2 linked regions of the Mus musculus genome follow. The protein of the gene in region 2 interacts with the protein of the main gene of each other region in a pairwise test. Links are inferred from orthologs where the notes say so. Each region holds a gene or a part of one and is shown on either strand. Other genes may lie near its edges.

The links.
Region 1: the proteins of Exoc1 (region 2) and Golga4 interact in binary tests that used the Homo sapiens proteins (3 or more experiments, as listed by UniProt). The link is inferred for Mus musculus from reciprocal best matches to the Homo sapiens genes EXOC1 and GOLGA4.

What each region holds. Positions count from the first base shown.
Region 1 is NC_000075.6:118,550,174-118,556,034, forward strand, and holds part of Golga4 (golgin subfamily A member 4), read left to right. Parts: intron 1-1,658; coding exon 1,659-1,790; intron 1,791-3,261; coding exon 3,262-3,417; intron 3,418-5,399; coding exon 5,400-5,861. UniProt on the Homo sapiens protein: Involved in vesicular trafficking at the Golgi apparatus level. May play a role in delivery of transport vesicles containing GPI-linked proteins from the trans-Golgi network through its interaction with MACF1. Involved in endosome-to-Golgi trafficking.
Region 2 is NC_000071.6:76,526,548-76,532,990, forward strand, and holds the start of Exoc1 (exocyst complex component 1), read left to right. Parts: upstream 1-2,763; 5' UTR 2,764-2,915; intron 2,916-6,207; 5' UTR 6,208-6,217; coding exon 6,218-6,341; intron 6,342-6,443.

The sequences.
Region 1 (5,861 bases), on a different chromosome or scaffold from region 2:
ATGAATTAATGAATGATGGCGCCCGACCCCTGTTCCCACTCCAGCTCTTCCCGTCATTCCATGCTTTCCTTAACTACGTCTCCATTCTACTCATTTAGTGACTCCTCATTTGTGTTACTGGATATACACAGCTTTGGCCCAAATTCTTTTTATTGTAGAAACGTTTTCCTGATAGTGGGAGCTAGCCTTTTAGATAGAAGGAACTTATTCAAACACTCTGTTTTCTGTTGAAAAGAAAGTTTTCTTCCTTGGTATTTAAGGTTACTTAAATAAGGTTATTTAATTTTAATTACATTTTTTTGTTTAGTGTTCATGTACAGGTGTGCGATAGAGGATGTAGTAGTGATGGAATTGGTTCTCTTACACTACATGGACGCCAGGGCTCAAACTCAGGTTGTAAGTTTGGCTGCACGTGCCATAAAGTGCTGAGCACCTCAGAGGTTCTAGCACACCTGTGGGACTGTGGCTGTAAGCTCGTGCCAGGGCACACTCCTAGTGTTTGCAAGACTGGGCTCAGTCCCAGCTATTACAAAAACTAAAACACATACATGCCCAATTCTGAGACACTGGTTTTTCTTTTGTCCTTTATGTGTTTTTATTTGGGGTTTGAGGAGGGATTCACCATGTAGGCTAAGCCAGCCCCTAAGTGCCTGCCCTGCGTCAGCCTCCCAAATTCCAGGGTTACAGTCGTGAATCACCGTGCTTTATGGATTATTGTTGTTCTAGGCCTGTTGTTTCCTTTTGACTAGGATGCATCCATTTGCTTATGGTTATACCCTTGCTCTGATTGGACTTTATTTGGTATGAGGAATAAGCTTGAAATTCAACTTAGTTTTTTGCCAGGGGACTGCTTTCACACCCTAATTTAATAGTATTTAATAGTATAGCCTTTGTCCCCTGACATGTCGTTATCACTATTACATAGTAAATATGTAAGATGCTGGCAGGTGTCCTCCTCACCCCACCTTGACTGCGACAGTGGACGGCTGTGTTGTCACTGCATTGTCACTGTGTCTGAGGAGCTGCTCCCTGCCTGCCACTCCTTCCCCACTGTTTGTTTTGGTAGTGGTGATGGGGTATTCCTAACCACTGAGCTGTCTCTCTGTGGACCCTAATTTTTGGCTCTTGTAACATGTAAGTTTAGTCTCAATGGCCTCCCTCATTCTTTTTGTGTTTCATTACATTAACTTTTTAGATTTATGTAGGGAACATTGATAGTTTTGTAAAATTGAGTTTTCCTTTCTGAGAAAGAACAAAGCCAATAACTCTTAAACAAATAATGATTTCCTGGAAAGCCTGGCACACCCTGACCATAGTGAGGGTCTGTCTTGAGAGCAGCCTTCCTCGTCTCCTGTCTCCTGTCTTCCACCCCTCCCCTCTCCTTATCCTAACCACTGGGGATCTAGTACAGGTTATGAAAATGTAGCTTCAAGCCCCACTGGACCCCGCGCAGCCCTTAGTTTCATTAATCAAGAGCCAACCGTTTGGGCTTTCATTTAACTGCTCTGACTTTGGAGCTGATTCTTGTCTCCTCTTAAGAAGTTGCTAGTGTGGTTAATCGCCAGTCAGCAGCGCGACTTAGCTGTGAGGTGTGTGGCTTCTGGCTGTAGTTACGTGGCTTTTATGGCAGTTTGCATTTACCTTTTGGTTCTTTTCAGAAGAACTCAGAAGAACAAGTTGCTGCACTCCAGAAGCTGCATGCAGAGGAGCTCGCCAGCAAAGAGCAGGAGCTGAGCAGGAGGCTTGAGGCCCGGGAAAGGGAGCTGCAGGAGCAGATGAGAATAGCTCTCGTAAGTGCTGTCTAGTACACCTCAGAGCTGCCGTCTGCTCAGGTGAGGTGGTGGATAAAAGGACAGGAGGAACCCAAGGGGGCCACTAGTTCAGTACTCGTCACATGAGGTCAGGGGTCCATCAGTCTGTGCGTGAGATGACGACGGCACAGTTGTCTCAGAGCCTAGCATACTGGCTTCCCAAAATTTATTCTGAACCGAAGTTTAAAGAGCAAAACTTGGAATTTATATGATGTTTAAAAAATAGAGTTAAAGAACTAACAAACTACTGAACTAACAAAATAATAGTGAGAAAAGCAAAGATTCAGACTTTTGCTGAAAAGGATGTGACTTGAAAATTTAAAACAAAAGGTAATTTTCCTCATTTGTGAGAACCTTTTATGTGAGTTACCACAAAGTTGTTTTCATGAAATTATCAAGAAAGTACATGAAATTATCATCCATAAAATAATATATATGATTTTTAAACATGTTTCATGCAAAAGGATTGGAAATGCTACCTGGGTCTGACTCTAAGTTGTCTGAGCATCTCAAGCCATATTGATTCTTGCCTGAGGCAACACGTTTTCTAATCTCTGGAAGCAAAATTGGCACTTGGATTTAGAGTACACTTATACACGGCTAGGAAAATAGTGTGGCGGAAACTCTGCCCAGGGGTGGTGCTGCATGCCTTTGATCTCAGCAGAGGCAGGGGAATCTCTGATTTTAAGGCCAGTCTGGTCTATATAGTGAGATCCAGGATAGTCAGTGCTACACAGAGAAACCTTGTCTCAAAGCAAGGAAAAAACAAATAAACAAAAACAAAACAAAACAAAAAACCACAGAACACAAAATTATAACTATTAAGGTACTTATAAGAATATTTATTTCAGCATAAAATATAAGTAGTTGCATGGAGATCAGAGAACAATGTGGAATGTAAAGGAAGGGCTGCTGTGTCCACGCACTGGCGTCCACGGTGCTTTCTGGGAATTGACACATTCAGCTGTATTTCAAGTGGAGGGAAAAAAAGATAAATGCATACATACACATGGAGCTCTAGCTTCTTAATTCAGCAGACTTGAAAATTTCTTCTATTAATATACCTAAAAATACTGAAATCAAGATTGTGAATAATTCTATCTAAATATTTCATATTTCAGTCTATCCTGTAATATGAAATCATTTTGTACAGCCCTGTGTGTCACCATGCTATATATAGTATGTCTAAGTACCACATCAATGCTTGCTTTTTAAGCAACAGTATACAGAAACATGCCTAAAGTTAGAGTATAATCTAGAAATTACAGTTTAGTGTGCTAGTTTAATGTTAAAAGTGCTTGTAACCTTTGCCATGGGTGTTGTCCTGTATAAGAATGGAGAATTTTCAGAGCTGGCTACACTGGAAAGCCTCAGAGCCCGGGTTCTGCAGATGAGGTGTTGCTTTGGGATTTATGTGGGATTGAGGTGGTATCAATTGTTTTTGGCACAGGAAAAGAGTCGATCAGAATATTTGAAGCTCACCCAAGAAAAAGAGCAGCAAGAATCCTTGGCTTTAGAAGAGTTAGAGCTGCAGAAAAAAGCCATCCTTACAGAGAGTGAAAATAAACTCCAGGAACTTGGGCAAGAAGCAGAGGCTTACCGAACCGTAAGTTCACGTGCTGTGTGGGCTCCAGAGCTGGGGATGTGTGTGTCTGTGAGACTGTCCCCAGAGCTGGGGGTGTGTGTGTCTGTGAGACTGTCCCCAGAGCTGGGTGTGTGTATGTCTGTGAGACTGTCCCCAGAGCTGGGGGTGTGTGTGTCTGTGAGACTGTCCCCAGAGCTGGGTGTGTGTGTGTCTGTGAGACTGTCCCCAGAGCTGGGTGTGTGTGTGTCTGTGAGACTGTCCCCAGAGCTGGGGGTGTGTGTGTCTGTGAGACTGTCCCCAGAGCTGGGGATGTGTGTGTCTGTGAGACTGTCCCCAGAGCTGGGGGTGTGTGTGTCTGTGAGACTGTCCCCAGAGCTGGGGGTGTGTGTGTCTGTGAGACTGTCCCCAGAGCTGGGGGTGTGTGTGTTTGTGAGACTGTCCCCAGAGCTGGGGTGTGTGTGTGTCTGTGAGACTGTCCCTAGAGCTGGGGATGTGTGTGTCTGTGAGACTGTCCCCAGAGCTGGGGATGTGTGTGTCTGTGAGACTGTCCCCAGAGCTGGGGGTGTGTGTGTCTGTGAGACTGTCCCCAGAGCTGGGGGTGTGTGTGTCTGTGAGACTGTCCCCAGAGCTGGGGGTGTGTGTGTCTGTGAGACTGTCCCCAGAGCTGGGGTGTGTGTGTGTCTGTGAGACTGTCCCTAGAGCTGGGGTGTGTGTGTGTCTGTGAGACTGTCCCTAGAGCTGGGGATGTGTGTGTCTGTGAGACTGTCCCCAGAGCTGGGGGTGTGTGTAGGGATGCATGTGTCCCTGAAGACATTTCTCTAGTCCTGGAATGAAGTATTTGTTATAGTGTAAGTGTATGTAGTTTTCTGCCCTTTTCTTGTCACTGTTAGAGATGTGTGACCTGCCACAGGAACGTGCTGACGGTATTTAGATCTGTCAGTCTTGTTAGGCCATGCAACAGTCACACTTCCCATAGTTGTAAGTTCATCTTTGCTCTTCCTTTACGGACAGTTCAGACACTGACGTGGTGCGGTGAGATGGCATTGACGCGGCTGAATCTGCACTGCTGTCTCTGCAGTGCATCTCTGCAGTCACCAAGGGGCTGGACCTGTCAGTGTCTTAGGACTGTTCCAGTCTGACGCTGTTCAGAGTGAAGAATTAATATTCTGTGAGAGAACAGCAACCTTTGGTTAAATATGGTTAAGAATATTCTTTAAGGAAAAACAAAACAAAACTGTGCAGGTTGGTGATGAGACAGCTCAGGATAATGTGTTTGCTGTACAGTCCTGGCCATCTGAACCTGATCCCCAACCACAGTGCAGAAAGAGAGCCAGCTTCCTGCTTCCCTGCCCTCTGCAGCCACAGCTGCACCCTCCTCCTCTTCCTCCTCCTCTTCCTTTTCTTCTTTCTCCTCTTCTTCTTCCTCTTCCTCCTCATGTCCTGTTCTTCCTCCTCCTCATCCTCTTCTTCCTCCTCTTCCTCTTCCTCCTCTTCTTCCTCCTCCTCCTCCTCACCCCCCACTTATGTGTATATGCACTTATATGTGTATATACACTTATGTGTATATGAATAATAAAATTTTAAAAGCTTTTAAGTATTTGCCTTTGGGGGTAGAAAACTGAGATTTTTTTTCCCCTCAAAATTGTTATAAAAGTAATAAAATACTATTATAAACCTAAAAGCATAGAGTGTGGAGATCCATCTTCCTACCAAGCTTGCTATCATTATTTGTTTTGTGGTTTATTTTCTTTTTGACTATCCCATTAGAATTTTTTGACTAGAGATACTGAGATCATTATGGGATGGTAAATAGAGGAAGTGCAGAGCTGAGTGTGTTCATGACTGCATTGGTGACTGAGCACAGCAGATTGTCGCCCTTTTCTTATGTTTGGTCTGCTATGTGAGGCATTCAAAGAACAGCCTTTAGATAGGCCCTGCAGTCTTTTATCATCACTAGTAAACAAGTATGCTGTTAGTAAAATACACCCAATTTTCATTAACAGAGAATTCTTGAATTGGAAACCTCTTTGGAAAAAAGTTTACAAGAAAGCAAAACACAGTCAGAGCATCTGGCTGTTCATCTGGAAGCTGAGAAGAATAAGCACAATAAAGAACTCACAGCCCTGGCTGAGCAGCATAGGACAGAAGTGGAGGGCCTCCAGCAGCAGCAGGACAGCCTGTGGACTGAGAGACTCCAAAGCCTCTCTCAGCAGCATCAGGCTGCTGTGGAGGAGCTCAGAGAGAAGTATCAGCAAGAGAAAGATGCACTACTGAAGGAGAAGGAGAGTCTCTTCCAGGCCCACATACAAGACATGAATGAAAAGACCTTGGAGAAGCTTGACAAGAAGCAAATGGAACTGGAATCTGTCTCTTCTGAGCTGTCAGAAGCACTGAGAGCTCGGGACCAGCTTGCAGAGGAGCTTTCTGTCCTAAGAGGTGATGCAGATAAAATGAAACAGGCTTTA
Region 2 (6,443 bases):
ATCTGAAGGCTTGGGATCTATGATGGCTAGAAGCACCTTGTGAAATCTCCAGAAAACCACAGTAAGAGTTGTCACACAGGTCCTCACTGCTCTGCAAGACATGCTTTCTGAAGCAGGGAACAATTCTCTACTGGGAAAACAAGGGTCATCTCTCATGAGGTGGATATATTATTAGTTCCACCAGTTCCCCGGTGCAGTTTTAGAAACAACCTGTTGAAGTATGAAAATGGAATAGAAAAGTCGACCAGGTTCAGGAAACACACATAATTTCAAGAATGGATAGTTCAGACTCCCCCCCCATCATTTACTTTCAAGACATCATTTTGGTATCTCTTCTGCAACTCACTTCCCTAGCCACATAGGAGTTCTTTATGTCTACCAAATACATAATGAAGGATTTGATCTGCCTCATAGATAGGTTGACACATCACACTAACTGGTCAGTAACATTGAATTCCTAGTGCATGTCACTCTCACTTGGGGATAGCTCTTAGGAATACTCAGTATACCCAGGGAATCTTTCCTTTCAGCAGAGCTTGTATCAACACACTTTATTATTCAATTTTATATAAAGGAAGAAGTGGCCTGAAGTAAGATGTTTTTATCTCTCATTAATTCAGCCAATATCCACAATCATCAACACTATAGCATCACCAATCATCATTACTCCAATCTACAAATCCTTTCTCAGCACCCTCAGGCTGAAGGCAGAACTACAGAATCCACGGACACTCCTGGATCACTCAGTGTCCCATTGCTGGGAAGAGACACCGTGACCACAGCAACTCTCATAAAGGAAGACATTTAGCTGGAACTTGCTTACAGGTTGAGAGGTTTAGCCCATCGCCATCATGTCTGGGCATCATTTTGAAGTGATGTGTGTAGAGATTTAAAACCCAACTGAGGGCATGAGCAGATGAGTATAGATATAATATAATTTAATATAAATATTATATAATCATTATTATTATTGCTGTTCAGTTATCCAAACAGAAATATCAGAGGCAGAGAAGTGGATACAAAAATCTGGAGTTCAGGAGTTCAGAAGAGTCTAGCCTTCTGGAATACCACTCACTTCTCAACTGTGAGGAGAGCTGTAACATAGGTACAGGGGGTTGGGGGGAAGAACAAAATGGAAGACCAAATGACAACAAAAACACCCAAATGGAATTGTCAGCTAAGATGTCCAAGGCAAACATTCTGGAGCTCAGGAGGAAACACCAGGGAAGTCTATCCAAATATATAGAACTAGATCCTGTGAGAGTCATCTCAAGTAACCCCGACTAGAAGCTGATCATTGTAGCAACAAACATGTCCCTATTCATTATTTCTCCTAGGTCTCCCAAAATTTTATCTTAAGATAAACGGTGCAAATACTGTGCACAGCTCATCTGTCATATTCTTAAGAAATTCATGCCGAGCGGTGGTGGTGCACACCTTTAATCCCAGCACTTGGGAGGAAGAGGCAGGTGGATTTCTGAGTTCGAGGCCAGCTTGGTCTACAAAGTGAGCTCCAGGACAGCCAGGGCTACACAGAGAAACCCTGTCTCGAAAAACAAAACAACAACAACAACAAAAAATTCATCCTATGTGCCTAGTCCTGCAGTGACTTGATGTCACAGGGTGGGTTGGTATCCAAGAAGGTCTCCACCCCACCCCTTCTCAGAAGAGAAGGGAAGCAGAGAATGAGGGAGAGGCTGGGAAGGAGGGTGAGAATTGGAAGGAGGGGTAGGCTAAGATCCACATGCAAAGTAAATAAATAAATGGAAAAAAAACAGCAAAGAAAAAAAGAAGAAAGAAAACCATCCTGGTAGAGTATGTTATCCTAACTTCGCAATCACCTTTTCTAGTCCTACCTCATTGCGAACTCCTTCAGTATAAAAAAATTGAATGGCTTTTTTTAATTTTTATTTTTTAACCTGGAAATCAAAATTTGCAGCACTCAATCCCTGCCAGGGATGCGGCCTAAATGAATCACTTGTCTTATAGCTCGAACTCTCGGCATCATTTATGTTTCTCACACTGAAACAAGCAAGCATCACCTTTAAAACAAAGATTCTATTTCAGTATCTGATGTGAGGTGGCATGGGTGAAGTTTCTAAAAAAACACCCAAGAAGAAGGTCTGTGCAGTCAGGGTAGAGTATGAAGTGGGTAAATGACCAAAGCTGTTTATGGGAATTAAGTGTCCAGAACTTAAGGGTACTAGTGACATCTATCCCAGAGAATCTGACTTAACTCACTAAAGTTCTTCCAAGAATCTAGTTAGCAGGGTTTTACATATGCACAGGAGAGAACATTTAATGCGCTCTCAAATGAGTTGCTACAAATATTAGAATGGGTACGTCTACAAAAAGGAAACATCACCATTATCAACTCCTCAAATCAGCCTATGCTAACAGTTCTCAACATTCCTAATGCTGCAACCTTTTAATACCTTTCCTCATGTTGCAGTGGGTCCCAACTATTAAATTATTTAATTTCTACTTTAAAACTGTAATTTTGCTACTGTTATCAATTGTAATGCAAATATCTGATATATTGGATATCTGCTATATGACCACTATGAAGGAAGGGGTCGTTTGACCCGCAGGTTGAGAATCACTGGCCTATGTGCTTGCAAGCCCCGCCCCTGTCTTTTCCACGCCCACAGTCCGCCTCTGCCCCATCCATCAAAGCGCTGTTCCGCCTCCTCCAAGTCCATTGGCCAATCTGTTTTTCCTCTACTGTCTCCATTTCCGGCTCCACAGGGTCAACTTCCGGTGCAGAGAGACACGTGACCGGATACGGGAAGTGGCGGGTTCTGGCCGCTGCTTTTCCCTGTTCAATGAAAAGTGCTTCAAAGCTGCTATTGCTGCCGGCGCCCTTCCTGAGTCCGTCTTGGAGCACCAACCTCGGCCGGCCGGCTGGCCTCGCGGTAAGCTTCCGGCCGGGGACCTGCGGTCTTGGAGGTGGTAGCCTAAGTGGAGGCAGTGTTGCATCCGCGCCGGGTCGGCCACTCCCCAGTGACCCGGCCCACCCACCCTGCTCCACTTCGGGGCTGCAGAACCCGGGCTGCGTCCTTCCTTAGCCGGTGCTGTCCGGGGCTCTGGGAAAAGGCGGAGCCGGGAGGCAGCCAAGTCTCTGTCCACAGTTCCGCCCATCCGGGACAGATTTCATTTTTGTCCTACTAGCGTGGCCTGGAAGAGAAAGACGTGACCTGGGCTTCTGCTGGTCCGAATCAATATAACATGTCCTTATAAATCTTCTAAGTGCATTGCCCAGCCTCTGAACAGTTTTTTTTTCTGGATGACATGTCTCCGAGTTGAGATGTCACTGCAGTACATGGGCCCAACCCACTAAGGCACTAGCATGGACACACAGTGTAACGATGGCCCTATTAAGCTGAAGGAAGTATGTATGTACACAATGAACCGAGGTTAGCTGCCTCTGTAACGGGCAGCCTTGAGGTTTTAGAAGGCGAAGATCTAAAGAGAACCCAGAATATGGGCGTGGTTTTTAGACCTGGGAAATAGTTGTGAAGGCCACTATTAATAATACTGGCATAATGTAAAGTTCAGTATAAACACTGGAGAATTCATCTCTAGATCCAAAGAAGACTGACTATCACAATGCTACGTCAACCCGTTCATGTCTTAAAGATTCTCCATTATACCCCAGAGTGCTGCCTGGCACTTAGTGAATAGCAATATTTATATTAGCAATATAATATAGCAATATAGTAGCAATGCTTATGTCTAATTCCTTCATGAGTTATGACCAGCCCTCTGCTGTTTTTACCGTTTACCATGTACTATGGTGAATATTGGCCATTGCTAATGGTTCTTTTGGCCAGCTTTTACTATTGCAATCAAGCAGGTTACGCCAAGAGCTTGTTAGTGAGTACCCAACACACAAACCTGTGATAGAGCACCCCTCCTCCTCCTACTACTCAAGAGATGGCTGTGGAGATCTAGGAGATGACACTCATGTCCCCATTAGATAGCAAGCATTTGCCTCGTAAATACAGTAAGGGCTCTATACATTTACATGAAAAGAGCCGTGTGGATTGAGACTTTCATTGAGTCAACTAAATACAAATGGAGAAATGTAGGTTTGAATAAGGAAAAGATAGTGGTATGCCCTGCATGGGAAAGTGCTTAAGCAAAGAAAGAACAGAGTGTTCTGAGTGCAAGGCATGTCTTGAGAAAGCTGGGTTGCTGTTGACCAGGTGTGTGGTAGAATGAGAACTGCTTTAAAGTTATTTACTAGTTTTTCAGGGAACTTGTAGAAGCCTAAAGAAAAAAGAAAGAGATAACGGGTGCTATTACTTAAAGGCAGTAAGTCTTGGTGGCTGTGTTGGCAGCAAGTTGTGGGGGAGAGGGATAGGATATGTAGATGAAGAAGTTACAGGATATGCTCACAGATTTCACGTTGGCATGGAGGAAGCAATCAATTACAGTAGAGTTTGAATCTGGGTATTCTCTTACAGATGCGAAAGTTGGAAAGAGGTAACTCTGAGGGAGCGATCCCTGGTCTGTTATTGAGTGGGACAGTATTCCCTAAAATGTTTACTGAGTGTGCACTGTGTGCCTCTCGGCAAATGCTAGGAATATAAAGATGGATAAGATAAGGTTCTTGCCAACAGAGAACTACTTTTCGGAGTAGTAGAGGCTAGACGGCGCTAGCTATAAAACACAGGTTGGAAGAGCTGTAGTCAGCAGAGGTAAGATGGGGACAGAAGAGGAGTTTTTCTAGGAGAGAAGGCTTCAAAGAAGAGGCAGTGTGTTATCAGAATCCTTGAGGGCAAGTTGGAATTTGCAGTGACAAGAATTTGAGAAAAAGGGAAACAGTGAACAAAGCCCAGAGACAGTTTCCATAGCGTAAGATGGAGTAGAGCTTTAATGTCACATCCGGGCCCTAGGACATATTAAGGGGCATTGTACTGGCTGGGTTTGGGTGTCATCTTGACACAGGCTGGAGTTATCACAGAGAAAGGAGCTTCAGTTGGGGAAATGCCTCCGTGAGATCCAGCTGTAAGGCATTTTCTCAATTAGTGATCAAGGATGGGAGGGCCCATTGTGGGTGGTGCCATCCCTGGGCTGGTAGTCTTGGGTTCTATAAGAAGGTAAGCTAAGCAAGCCAGTAAGTAACATCCCTCCATGGCCTCTGCATCAGCTCCTGCTTCCGGACTTGCTTGAGTTCCAGTCCTGACTTCCTTTCGTGATCAACAGCAATTTGGAAGTATAAGCTGAATAAACCCTTTCCTCCCCAACTTGCTTCTTTGTCTGATGTTTGTGCAGGAAGAGAACCCCTGAGTAATACAGGCGTGCTGGCTAGTTTTAGGTCATTGTGGCACAAGCTAGAGTCATCTGAAAGGGAACCTCAGTTGAGAAGATGCCTCCAAAAAGATCTAGCTGAAGGGCATTTTTAAAGTTAGTGTATGATGGGGGCTGGCTCATAATGGTAGTTGCATGCTTGACTTGTAGAAGAAAGTGCCGGACTGTTTTCTAAAGCCTCCGAACCATTTGTGATCCTCCCAGCTGTGTGGGAGTTTCCTTCATCAGTGCTGCTGTGTGTCCATTGGGATTTTAGCTCTCCCAACAGTTGAAAGCAGTAGCTATCTCACTGTGGATTTCAGTCGCATTTCCCAGGTGGATAATGGTATGGAATATTTGGGGTTTCTGGTATGCATCTTTGCAAAAACCCAAGGGCAACTGCACATGGTGTTCTTCAGTGTACCATTCATACCCCTTTTCTTGGACATGGTGTCTCACCAGATTGGCATTCCACCAATGGGTGAAGCTGTCTGGTCAGTGAACTCCAGGGATCTGCCTGTCTCTGCTTCCCCACTGCTTGCTATGTGAGCTCTAGAAATTAAACAAGATTGGACTTGTGTCCTCCACGTACTAGGAAACACTTTACCAACAGAGCTGTTTCCTCAGCTCTGTAATGAATAATTTTTAGTATATTTATTGGTTATTTGTACTTGTGTGTGTGTGCTTGCATATTTGTATATATGGGTAGTATCTTGTGTGTGTGTGTGTGTGTGTGTGTGTATATATATATATACTGGTTTCTCTGATTTTATTTCCAAACTTGAAGCCCCATGCTTTTATGTTGTAGATGATTAATATATTTATGTATTAAGAATGTATCGTTCAAGTCATAAATGGAACACTTTATGAGGGAGGGCAGTGGTTTTGAGAATTATTCTAAATGTTTTTCAGCTGAGAAAAGATGACAGCAATCAAGCATGCGCTGCAGAGAGATATCTTCACACCAAATGATGAACGCCTGCTGAGCATCGTGAATGTCTGCAAAGCTGGCAAGAAGAAGAAGAACTGTTTTCTGTGTGCCACAGGTAGGTGGTTATTAAGCAAAAATATGTACTTGATACCTTCCTTAGGTCATACTCTCATTGTTTCTATAACTGGGAGAGTTATTGGGCTGATAAGTTAATTTT